Saccharomyces cerevisiae S288C: one gene and its partner. The protein of the gene in region 1 interacts with the protein of each later gene in a biochemical or structural test. Each region holds a gene or a part of one and is shown in the gene's direction. Other genes may lie near its edges. The genes, in order: BCD1 and HIT1.

Region 1 (3,185 bases):
AATCTTCTTGAGAAATCAGAATTGCCCCAAGTAGATTGAGCTTTGCCTGCCTTAGAAACCATTTCATCTATGTCAGCTTCCGTTTTCGATGGAAAAGAACCTAGATATTGACCTGTGGCGGGACAATGACATTGAATAAAGTTTGGTTCTTCAGGATTCCATATGTTAGTGGAAACAGACCTCTTGCCCTTCCAATTATTTTGAGCGGCCTCTGGTGCAGGAAGGGAGAATTTGACTGGCTTATAGGACGAGGAACACTTTGCTGGGGTGGAGATTATCTTGACCAAAACATACAGAGTGAAAATTGAGGCAACTAGCGTTGTAATGCCTATCAGTTTTTGGTTATCTTGAATAATTTGGGGTTGAGAACGCATTATTGCGTTTTGCTTCTCCAACCATAAGTTAAAGTAAGCTTGAACTGTGGAGTTCAAATGGTTAATCATGTCTGAATTCAGATAGACCTTGGACATGATGAATAAACGTTCGATAAAACAGAGGAGAAACTGAACGTGAACTGTGAAAAGAATTCTACTATTCTGCAAATACTATTATAATTATATAGTAATCCCCATCGGCGTTTAGTATTTTTCGTTAATAAAATAAAAATAGAGAGACCATACTTTCTCCTTTACAACCGATATACTAAATAACACATTTTTGATTATACTACTACTCGTTTAGCAGATAGAGAAAAAAAAAAAAAAAAAAAAAAGGCTGAATGGATAAAGCGAGAGTCGTAAAGACCGAATGCAATGTCAGTTTATACATTTTTATTCTATTGGTATTATATTATAAAAAGATATATGATTAGAAAACTAGAATGTAATGCAATATTACAAGGCATTGATATGGACTTCAGCAGAAGGCTTGATGACAGTCTCGATCAAAATTTTGACAACGTCATCCTTTTTCTTCTCTGCAATTTTCTTAATCTCAGCTAATTCACCTTGCACACCAGCCTCTGCTTTCTTTTCCAATTCACCAACACCACCGGCATTCTTTTGTTCAAACTCCTTCAATTCCTTGTCTTTTTGAATTTTGTATGAGTCGATTTCCTTGGCTGCATCAGTCTTGGCTTGCTTCAACTTATCTTGTCTGTACTTTCTAGCCTTTGATACTATTTCGTGGGCTTCCTTTTCAGCTTGTAGTAGGGTGGCAATTCCGTTTTTTTGGGACTAAAGAGAATATTACATAGTTCTGAGCAACAATGAAAAAACCAATACCTTTGTCACGAGGTACCAGTCCAACAAGAGAGCACAGTTTTAAAAAAGTTTTTCATGTTAGTAAGAACGCTTGTTAGAGACAGAAGTGTTGACACGTAATGTAATGGCACATACCATTCTGCTTTGTATACCTTGCACACTTTGGAGATTGCAGGAAAAAAAAAAATGTATTGTTTAAGGTGTGATTGCTTTATCTATCACGCTCCCTTTTAGAGATGAAATTTTTGATACCCAAGGCAGGGTAACAAATTGAAAAAAAAAAAAATTCGCGGTAATAATAGTGGATGTCAAAGTTCATATTCGATGAGATGAGCTGGAATAGGAGTCCAGTTAATAGGGAAGGGTGTGGCAATTTGCAAGTATGGCGGTGTTGTGTGGTGTATGCGGAATAAAAGAGTTCAAATACAAGTGTCCAAGATGTTTGGTGCAAACTTGCTCTTTGGAGTGTTCCAAGAAGCACAAGACAAGGGACAATTGCTCAGGTCAAACACATGATCCTAAGGAGTATATATCGAGTGAGGCGTTGAAACAGGCGGACGACGACAAGCACGAACGAAATGCTTATGTCCAGAGGGACTACAACTATCTGACGCAGTTGAAGCGAATGGTGCATGTACAAAAGATGGATGCTAGAATGAAGAACAAGCGGGTTCTGGGGCCTGTGGGCGGCCACAACTCTAATTTCAAGAAGAGAAGATACGATATAGATGAGGATGATCGTGATAGCACGGAGTGTCAGAGGATAATTAGGAGGGGGGTGAACTGTTTGATGCTACCCAAGGGGATGCAGCGATCATCGCAAAACAGGAGCAAGTGGGACAAAACGATGGACCTATTTGTATGGAGCGTGGAGTGGATTCTATGTCCTATGCAGGAAAAGGGTGAGAAAAAGGAGCTTTTCAAACATGTCAGCCACCGTATCAAAGAGACAGACTTTTTGGTGCAAGGGATGGGCAAGAACGTTTTCCAAAAATGCTGTGAATTCTATCGCTTGGCTGGAACAAGCTCTTGCATAGAGGGCGAAGACGGTTCGGAGACCAAAGAGGAAAGAACACAGATCCTACAGAAGAGTGGGCTCAAATTCTACACGAAAACGTTCCCTTACAACACCACGCATATAATGGATTCAAAAAAACTGGTGGAGTTGGCTATACATGAGAAATGCATCGGAGAATTGTTGAAGAACACCACAGTGATCGAGTTTCCCACGATATTCGTTGCCATGACAGAGGCTGACCTACCAGAGGGCTACGAGGTGCTACACCAGGAACCCCGCCCACTTGAGCATACGAGTACACTGAACAAGTTTATTGACAATGCAAGGGAGGAGGAAGACGCTGAAGAGGACTCTCAACCGACAGAAGAACCTGTACAGAAGGAAACACAGGACGCCAGCGACAGCGACAGCGACAGCGACGATGACTACAATCCGGGCTTATCCATGGATTTCCTCACTGCATGAGCCGAGATACATAAGGTTGAAGATTACTATTTAGACTATCTATCTATACGTATACACCGCAATATACAAACAGAAAAAAAAAAAAAGAAAAAGCATTCGTAAGAACTCACAGCTCCAGAGCACGAACATACTGGTACGCCAAATCACATATTTCGTTGCTGGTGTCCGGCCCCAACGAGTCGGATGAGGTTTTGTACTCCTTGGCCCGGATTTCAGCTAGGTGTCCTTCGATGCCTGCAATCTTGGTCTCAAACTCGCCCGCTTCGTCCGCCTGCAGTTCTATCAGGAGACCCTTGAACCCAGTGGAGGAGAAGAGGTTGACGAGTCGCACGGTGAGCCCGTCCAAGATCAACGTCTCACCGGCATCACCCTTGATGAGCTGCCTCTGCATCCAGATGTTGGACAGCTTGGACGACAAAATAGTGTCTATGGACTCAGGAACGCCCGTAGATGAGCCATTGAACACCAGCGCCGGAGGGATATCCGCCGCTGCGGCAGTC
Region 2 (10,603 bases), on another chromosome or scaffold:
TGGTGCTCACACAGACACTCAACAAAATTTAAAGGTAATGGACACTCCCGAATTGTTTTTGAAAGATACTTTGCATTCGGCTAAAGGCAGAGGGGTTCCATCACTGATGGATAAGTTGACTAAGGAATCCAAGAGTGCTATCAGGTGGTTGCAAACAGAATTCGATTTGAAATTAGACCTCCTTGCGCAATTGGGCGGTCACTCTGTTCCAAGGACCCATAGATCTTCTGGCAAATTACCACCAGGTTTTGAAATCGTGCAAGCGTTATCAAAAAAACTAAAGGATATCTCTTCCAAAGATTCCAATCTCGTGCAGATTATGCTAAACAGTGAAGTAGTGGATATCGAGCTTGATAATCAAGGTCATGTTACTGGTGTAGTATATATGGACGAGAACGGAAACCGTAAAATCATGAAGTCACACCATGTCGTGTTTTGCTCAGGTGGATTTGGTTACTCTAAGGAAATGTTGAAAGAGTACTCACCAAATTTGATTCACTTGCCAACTACTAATGGCAAACAGACTACAGGTGATGGTCAAAAAATCCTTTCAAAGTTGGGTGCCGAATTGATTGATATGGATCAAGTGCAGGTACACCCTACCGGCTTCATTGATCCAAATGACCGTGAAAATAACTGGAAGTTTTTGGCTGCAGAGGCATTGAGGGGTTTAGGCGGCATCTTATTGCATCCCACCACTGGAAGAAGGTTTACAAATGAATTGAGCACCAGAGATACAGTAACCATGGAAATACAGTCTAAATGTCCGAAAAATGATAATAGAGCACTTTTGGTAATGAGCGACAAAGTCTACGAGAACTATACGAATAACATAAACTTTTATATGTCCAAAAACTTAATCAAAAAAGTGTCAATCAACGATCTGATCCGACAATATGACCTACAAACTACAGCTTCTGAACTGGTAACTGAACTGAAGAGCTATTCCGATGTTAATACTAAGGATACGTTTGATAGGCCATTGATTATCAATGCCTTTGATAAAGATATTTCGACTGAATCAACTGTTTATGTTGGGGAAGTTACACCAGTTGTTCATTTCACAATGGGTGGTGTGAAAATTAATGAGAAATCTCAGGTAATTAAGAAAAATTCGGAAAGCGTTCTATCTAATGGGATATTTGCTGCTGGTGAAGTTTCGGGTGGTGTTCATGGAGCCAACAGATTGGGTGGATCTAGTTTGTTAGAGTGTGTTGTCTTTGGAAAGACAGCTGCGGATAACATAGCAAAATTGTACTGAGAATTTATAGGGAAATAAAAGATATTTTTGCAACGTACTTTACATTTCAATAATTAATGCGACATGATAGGATATACTGTTTGCTATTTCTTTCCGTAACGATATACGATTTTTTCTTTTCTTTGGAGTTCCAAATGAAGAATATATCTTGTTGGGAAAAGCTATAGTATTAGGTTTACAGAATATGGTAGAGGTTTCTCCCCGACGATATAGGAATCTACAAGAGAGAGCATGATTCTACACGATAATACTGCAATTTCTTCTTTGCGTTGAAGTGTCACCATTGCCTATCCTTTTACATTATCAATGTCAATGTTCCCTCTTCTAACAAACTGAATGACTTTTCTACACGATTCATATTATCTTCTTGCGCAGTAAATTATGTTAACGTAATAGTAGGGTCTCTTGTGCTTCATTATTTTGTAACTGTACACATAATTGACACGTTTAACAATTAGTGAGCGCAAGTGGTTTAGTGGTAAAATCCAACGTTGCCATCGTTGGGCCCCCGGTTCGATTCCGGGCTTGCGCAGTTTCTTTTCTTTTTTTCTGGAAAATAAGAAAACTTATTTATGGAAGCAAAAATGGAATAAAGGATTGGGACGAAGTTAGTGAAAAAAAACTGAAATAGTCCTAGAGTAACTCCGAAGTGTCTTTGTATAAGCTATTATCTAGAAATCACGAGAGGGGAAGAAATGTATCGCAGTAGAAACCGACCAAAAAGAGGTGGAGAAAATGAAGTTAAGGGACCAAATTCTGCCTTGACTCAATTTTTAAGAGAAGAAGGGATCAGTGCTGAAAATATCAAACAAAAATGGTACCAGCGACAGTCGAAGAAGCAAGAAGATGCAACAGACGAAAAAAAAGGTAAAGCGGAGGATGATAGCTTTACTGCCGAGATATCTCGAGTAGTTGAAGATGAAGAAATTGATGAAATTGGAACAGGTAGTGGTACCGAGACAGAAAGAGCTCAGGTTTCCTACGATGCCAGGATGAAATTAGTCCCTGCTGATAGTGATGAAGAAGAATATGAAACTAGCCACATTTCTGACACGCCAGTCAGTTTAAGTTCGGCTAATGACCGGGAATCATTGACTAAAAAAAGGCAAAATACTGCAAAAATTATCCAAAATCGTCGCAGAAAGCGTAAAAGAGCAGCTGACCTATTGGATAGACGCGTCAACAAAGTATCCAGCTTACAAAGTCTTTGTATTACGAAAATTAGTGAAAATATATCCAAGTGGCAAAAAGAGGCTGATGAATCATCAAAGTTGGTATTTAACAAATTGAGAGATGTCCTTGGTGGCGTATCAACCGCTAATTTGAATAATTTGGCAAAAGCACTATCGAAGAATAGGGCCCTGAATGATCATACTCTGCAACTTTTCTTGAAGACAGATCTAAAAAGGTTAACTTTCAGCGATTGTTCTAAAATTTCATTTGATGGTTACAAAACGCTAGCCATTTTTTCGCCACACCTAACCGAATTATCCCTACAAATGTGTGGGCAGTTGAACCATGAATCATTGCTTTACATTGCTGAAAAGCTTCCGAACTTGAAATCACTGAATTTAGATGGACCATTTCTGATCAACGAGGACACATGGGAGAAGTTCTTTGTAATAATGAAAGGTAGATTAGAAGAGTTCCACATTTCTAATACGCACCGCTTCACCGACAAATCATTATCTAATTTATTGATCAACTGCGGTTCTACCTTGGTATCCTTAGGGTTATCCAGACTAGATTCTATATCAAATTACGCTTTATTACCGCAGTACCTAGTCAACGACGAATTTCACAGTCTCTGTATTGAATATCCATTCAATGAAGAGGATGTTAACGATGAGATCATCATAAATCTGCTAGGTCAAATCGGGCGCACGTTACGTAAATTGGTTTTGAATGGCTGTATTGACTTGACAGATTCAATGATAATCAATGGTCTGACTGCATTCATTCCTGAGAAATGTCCATTGGAGGTATTGAGCTTGGAAGAATCAGATCAGATCACTACAGATTCACTGTCGTACTTTTTCAGCAAAGTAGAACTGAATAATTTGATTGAATGCAGCTTTAGAAGATGTCTACAATTGGGCGATATGGCAATTATAGAGCTATTGCTTAACGGAGCAAGAGATAGTCTGAGAAGCTTAAATCTCAATTCATTAAAAGAGCTAACTAAGGAGGCATTTGTGGCGTTAGCCTGTCCTAATCTGACGTATCTTGATCTTGGTTTTGTACGTTGTGTTGATGACTCGGTGATTCAAATGTTGGGTGAGCAAAATCCGAATTTAACTGTAATTGATGTTTTCGGAGACAATTTGGTTACTGAAAAGGCCACAATGAGGCCTGGACTTACGTTGATAGGGAGACAGAGTGACAGTATATAATAAAATAAAGACATATAAAACGTGTATTAGATAGAAAACGGAAAATTGACTAATGTTTTTATTCCTATTATACTCAGATCGTCAAATGTTGCCTTTATTTTCTATTGAAGGGATTTTATGGCATCTCGCGAATAATAAACAAACAATAATAGTAAAAAAAAAAGTGTAAACTTATGTATTCAGCGCAGATAAAAGGAAAAAAACGAGAAGTTTGACGTAAAGAAAAAAGTTCGAAAACTTTTGTAGCAGTTGAAAGTTTTGTATGCTATGTCAATTAGGCCTCTCACGTTAAACGGTTTAGATGAGCCAGAAACCTCTTTTGAAGAACTGAATACAACTCTACCTCGCTTTCAATCCCATGAAACATTAACTTTGGAAGAAAACGTGCCACCATTGAGTACATCAACTTATATACCGCCTCCATCCTCGGTAGGTACTTCTGACACTGGCACGGTATTTTCCAATAGTACCAGCGCGTTTTGGTCTAATAAGCAAGCAGACGATGATCAGGACATGGAGGTAGACCAGGATGATGAATTTCTAAATGACTTCCAGGAATTCCAAAATAAAAAGGATGATTTTGACGATGCTATTAAAACAAATTTTCATTTGAGAAATGGATGTCGAACTGGCCCTTTCAAAAACGACATTTTCGCAGAAGAGTTTGATAGAAAACTGAGTTTGGAAGATAAACCAAGGCTAAAGCAACCTAGATCAATGATGGAATTGAAACCAAAAAGAAAACTATCAAATAGCGTCACTTCAAGAAACTTAAGGTCTGGTAATTCTGTAAGATTTAAGAAATCTATGCCTAACTTAGCTTTAGTTAATCCAGCTATCAGAGAAGAAGAAGAGGACGAAGAACGAGAAAGAGAAGATCAACGAGAGTTTAATTACAAGATTGATAACGATACGCAGGACACAATTTTGGCGAAATTCAGTTCAGATGATGAAGGTGACTTTCTGACAGGATTTGAAGAATTAGAGGGTGAAGCAATTGATGAAACGATTTCTTCGAACGATAAAGAAAGTGCCGACCATCCGCGTTTCTTAAAGAAGTCATCCTCATCTTTGCCATTAAAAATATCACCTGCACAATATGATATAGTAAAGCATGACGAATTATTAACTCCAGGTCTTCATAGGCGACAACGAGATTGGAATACCCAGCAGGAACTGGACTCTTTTAAAGAAAAACGATCAGTAAGACACTGTTCTAATCAAAATGTACAACTCAATGGTCCAGCTAAAATCAAAACAATAAAACAGCAAATTGATCATAATACTCCAATGAAGAAAGGTTCTATGATATATAACCCGAAAACTATGAAGTGGGAAGGAAATGAAAACGTCTTAAGCAAATTTAGTGATGTAGACACGGCAAACAGGAAAGCTTTATTGATAAAAAACAAGCTACAACGAGATGCAGATTCTAAGAAGCAAAAATATTCTGATCTACAGCATGCAAGAGCCACTTCGAGAAATCAAAAGGTCATCGGGAACATGATTTTAGATGAACAAAATTTAAGATGGGTTAGTGTTTCAGAGGAAGAAGCAGACCCTTTTGCAGGCATTCCTGAGATAAACTTACCACCAGTTGGCAAAAGTATGAAAAAACGTAGCTCCTCACCATTTTTGCGTTCCAAAAGCCAAGTTAATACGCCATTTGTTTCAAATGACAATGATGGCGTTTATCAAAGTACGGCTGCTCAAGCAAGACTCCGTAAATACCATTCAATGAGGACACTTAACGGTACAACAGAAACTCCAGAAATAAGCTCTACTTTCCATTTGAGTTCAAGAGCATTGGAAAAATTTTACCACGAGGAGAACAGGTGGTGTAAAAAGTTAGCCTCATGGTTTATACCCCGAGATGAGACCATTATCAGTGTTGATGAGGAAACAATCATGGATGAAAGTACGGTCAATAGCAAGAGAAAATCCTATATGTATGAAATCAGGAACATGGTAATCAATTCGACAAAAGATTAGCCCTTTAGCCTTCTTATAACTGTTTCTTTACCGTTATCTTGAGTACATTCATTTCTCTTACATTCCAAAATTAGATAGAACCTTGAATCGTGTCAACTTTTCGCCGACATTTCGCGTCTGACAGAAAAAGAAATGTTGCAGAAAATTCGAATAGATGTTTCAAATGAAAATAGACCATGAGGGACACATTAACATTTCAAACAAAAGAGCCCTTGATGATTATTAAAACAGATCTTTATGGTTTGTTTAGCAAACACTTTGGTAATTTCATGAATATTTGACTAGCAGGAACAGAAAATCAAAAATGTTTAACCATGATTGGAAGTACTCCATTAATTCTAAGACTTTCGCCGATTTAAACATTGAATTATTTCGAAACCACAAGTTCAAAACTGTTTTAAATTACATAATAGGTGTAGTTGGGTGGAATGGATTAAAACTCGCCCTTTTTGTTTCTGACATTTACACATGTATCAAATTGCTGGCATTCAACTCCTGGTCAAACAACATCATCAAACCATACTTACCCTTTAAAATATCCAAATGGTTGTTTAGCGGTTGTATTTTAGCATCGATTGTGCTATTGATATGGGAGGCTATAGCGGGAATGAGGATTTACAAAACGGGAAATATCTCTTTGACTTATGTCAACAATTTTTCCAGAAACCTAAATTCAGTGCTCAATTATTCCAAGTTTTGTGTTTATAATATGATCGAACGAAAGGGTTTTCGACAGAAAATGACATTTTTTACTTTTTTTCAACTGAAAGATTGTATTAGATTAATCTTCACGGATACCCCAAGGCAAGTTATTAATGGTCTTACGCTGTGGTCAGTTCTCGTAACAGTAAATAAAAACGAGGATCTAGGCGATCTGGAATCATTTACCGGTTTGATCAACAAAATAAAGAACATTGGCCAGACCAATCATGAAGAAGCAGTGATATTGTCGCTGATGCTATTTTCCTTTATAATCTGGGCATTATTTGTCTTCAAGTTTCTGCTTGCTGTCATTTGCTCGATTTTTGTTTATTATAAAATAATCAATGATCAGGAATATAGCGGGTTGCGTGAGTACATTTGTGTTACCGTCAGCGAAAATGTTGATGAACTTGTTGAAAGACAAAGGAAAAAGGAAAATGATGACACGATTTATAAGACAGGTCTTCTCGAATCTCAGACTTTTGACGATTTTAAAGAAGTTGAAAATAAAATTGAAACATCTTTTAATGATACGTCATATGCTTCTAATAATGATTCTATGATTGAGCTAATAGAGAGAAGACCCGAATACAAAAGTCAGGATGTATGTGGGCCCATTCCCACAATGAAGAAAACGGAAACAATGGAATCGTTCGTTGACAATGGCAATCCACAATATACCACTAGATTCTCTGCGATTCTAGATTCACCATATATCAACAGCTATGAAAGTAATGATATAAAGAAAGCAAAAATACAAAGCAGAAGCGTAAATACTCCAAAATATGAGGATTTGTCTTCTTCTGACATTTTCAACAAAATACACTCTGCTGGACAATTAAAATCTACAACTTCTATGGAGTTTCACGGGCCATTAGATTCTATGCCAAATACAACAAACAACATCCGTAATTTTAATAGCAACAGTAGTAGACCTAGACCACCTCCTTTACAGACAAAAAGTTCGATTAATTCAAAAGCTGACTCGAATGATAATGGAAGGATTTATACACCAATGAAAGCGTACTTCAGGGAGCCTGATCTTCCGAGGAAGGGTTTGCTGGAAGATGAAGATCGTACATATAATTATACTTAATAGGCTGGCAAAAGCCCTTTGCATATTTCATGAATTAGATAGACGTGATTAGAAACAGCCGTTAGTATGTTTCTGATAAAAATAATACTTTTTTTGTAACACTATTTTCATATATTGGATTGATACCGGTTATAGCACAAACATAACAGCCATGAAAGTTTCTTTGAAAACCCCTTTTAACATTTGCTTGTAAGAGATAGGTTAATTTTTTATAGTTGCTGAGATTCCATTGTTGGTAAAGACTTAATATTAGGTATACAGAATATACTAGGAGTTCTCTCTGGGTATGTAGGAATCCACAAAAGGGTGTCACTAGTTCAACATAATAACATCTTTTTTTTATTCCTTCTTTGATATTTTGTCATATTATCCTATTATTTTATCAATCCTTGCATTTCAGCTTCCAATAGATTTGATATTTGTTTCTCAATATTATGTCATCTTCATACACAGTATGTGATAATATACTAGTAACATGAATACTACTAAATGAGTACTACCTTAGGGGTTCATTACAGCAGCTTAAGCGAAAGTAGAAAATGAGGCGGATATTTGTTGGAATAAAAATCAACTATCATCTACTAACTAGTATTTACGTTACTAGTATATTATCATATACGGTGTTAGAAGATGACGCAAATGATGAGAAATAGTCATCTAAATTAGTGGAAGCTGAAACGCAAGGATTGATAATGTAATAGGATCAATGAATATTAACATATAAAATGATGATAATAATATTTATAGAATTGTGTAGAATTGCAGATTCCCTTTTATGGATTCCTAAATCCTCGAGGAGAACTTCTAGTATATCTACATACCTAATATTATTGCCTTATTAAAAATGGAATCCCAACAATTACATCAAAATCCACATTCTCTACAATATTGATTTCCATCGTGTAAGTTTTCTGCACGAAGTTTATTCATTCAATTTGAAGTGCTTCGTAATAATATTACTATGCAACTTAGGTACCTCATATTTCTTAGAGTTCAACCAAGTTGGTTCCGTTGGCGTAATGGTAACGCGTCTCCCTCCTAAGGAGAAGACTGCGGGTTCGAGTCCCGTACGGAACGTTGATTATTTTTTTTTTTTCGTTTCTTTATAGAAAAAATTCAGACGATATTACCTTGCGATGAGATAATCTTACCGCAGAAAGAGTGCCACAGTGGTAATAACTAGTTGAAGGTTCATATTATATAAAAAACTCTAAGAATAAAAATGGTATCTAGTGCAGTTAAATGTGGCATATGTCGCGGAGTTGATGGTAAATATAAATGTCCTAAATGTGGCGTACGATATTGCTCCTTGAAATGCTATAAAGATGCTGCAAAGCATGTTCATAAGGAAAGCGAACAACCCAGGGCTGGTACAGAAGCTAATGTGGAAGTTGTTAATAACGATAAGATCATAAACAGTTCACTCGCAATGAATAAAACATTAAAGACGAAGGCATTCGATGATATATATCAAAATAGCGCAGAATTGCAAGAGCTGTTGAAATACAACACGGTGAAGTTCCATTTGGCAAAGGTTTATAGAATTTTGTCCAGTACTGTTAACGATGGAAGTTCTGGAAAAATGAACAGCGATCTACAAAAAGAACTAGCTGTAAATTATTTGAATACATTACGATATGGTGGTATACATTATAATGAAGCAATTGAGGAATTTTGCCAGATTTTATTAGATAAATTAAATGCGGTGAAGAAATAAGAATTATCGTTGTTAGCATGATTTTTAAGATTGAGCATTTTATTCATTTTTAACCATATAATAGTGAAGGTGAGGACTAATAACAAAGTACTTGTTGAAAGGGTCGGGTTGCTTTTAGGTTTTTTCTTCTCGTTAAGGATTTCCCACTTGTCTGGCAAGGCGTCAAGCAGACTTGGAAAATAATGATATTATGTCAGAATTTTTGTGTGAGGCGCTTCTATTGCAAGTTTGTGACACCTTATAATAAAAGTGAACCATGTATTTACATATGATTAGGGAAAGTTCCACCATCATCTTATGATCTTCATGGCCGTTTTGGTCTTCTTTTTAACTTGAAGTCCAACTTGGCGACTGTACATATATACATATATATAGCAATAAGTATAACAAGGCAACAAATCAGGTCCCATTATTTAATTTGAAGTCATCTACTGCCCCATAAGAACCTCTATATTATCAGTAGATTCTTTCTTTTAGGGAAATCGAACCTCGATATTGTAAGAGAAACCCGCGCCACTCCTAAAAAGGTATTTTGAAGGAGAGGATGATTTGGAGCAACATTTGGTACACTTTATCCTCAGTTTTTCGCTAACTACCTCGCAACTTGTTGTTGTGGATGAAATTTTTGATATTAATTTCAATAAATAAAATATATGCAAATATCATTATAATTTGTCAAGTGCGGGAAATAGACTATGCAGTGATTTAGTGTGCAAGTTTGCCCACTTCACATTCATACCAAATATTTCTTCCCACTCATTTTTATCGTATTAGCACTACATACGTGACTTTTTAGCTCAGCTTTCGGACTGGATAGCTTTACTGACTTACTTTCTACAAGCGATATCATTCGTCACAGTACTCCAAAGAAGTCTGGGCATTTAATTTTCTTCTTTATCAAGTCCGCCATTATGAAGGAATGTATTGGGTAATAGTTGACATACCGATGTTCTGCTGGTAGCATCGATGAACGAAAATAGGTAACGGCTTGCCGCTGAAGATATTGGAAATGAGACAGATCATTCTAGGGTAAAATGCGCTGTAGAGCTAGCGTCAATTGCGATTTTCGAACACTGGCTGCAGGTATTTCTGTTTTCTCGGCTTTCATTATAGTAATGTGAAGCTACTAGGAGAATCACGAAACATCTTTTTAGTAGGATGAGAACACCACGCTCTCCTAACTGGAAGTAATTTTTGGTATGCTTAGAGATCTGTTCCTCTCTTATGACTTCTTTTTCGCCTACTATAAACTTAATATCAACATATTTAGTTAGTTTTTTCAGAGCAATACGTGTTTATTTTTTCACAACTTCGCATGGCATTATGTATCATTGCAGCGTAAATTTTTACATTTAGTAATATCTAATAACATATACACAAAAAAGGGACAGATTTTTGAATTAAATAAACCAAGCGTAAATCAGTATTGCTCTTACCGCAGT

Evidence for each region.
Region 2: the proteins of BCD1 (region 1) and HIT1 form a complex in vitro, tested with the Saccharomyces cerevisiae proteins (one study listed by BioGRID).

The regions. Positions count from the first base shown.
Region 1 is NC_001140.6:186,340-189,524, forward strand, and holds BCD1 (Bcd1p), read left to right. Parts: upstream 1-1,584; coding exon 1,585-2,685; downstream 2,686-3,185. Other genes in the region: MSC7 (meiotic recombination directing protein), read right to left, coding at 1-470; VMA10 (H(+)-transporting V1 sector ATPase subunit G), read right to left, coding at 834-1,175, 1,338-1,340; SRB2 (Srb2p), read right to left, coding at 2,792-3,185. UniProt on the Saccharomyces cerevisiae protein: Required for box C/D snoRNAs accumulation involved in snoRNA processing, snoRNA transport to the nucleolus and ribosome biogenesis.
Region 2 is NC_001142.9:530,106-540,708, forward strand, and holds HIT1 (Hit1p), read left to right. Parts: upstream 1-8,666; coding exon 8,667-9,161; downstream 9,162-10,603. Other genes in the region: OSM1 (fumarate reductase), read left to right, coding at 1-1,261; UV-damaged DNA-binding protein RAD7, read left to right, coding at 1,957-3,654; BFA1 (Bfa1p), read left to right, coding at 3,922-5,646; KCH1 (Kch1p), read left to right, coding at 5,951-7,444.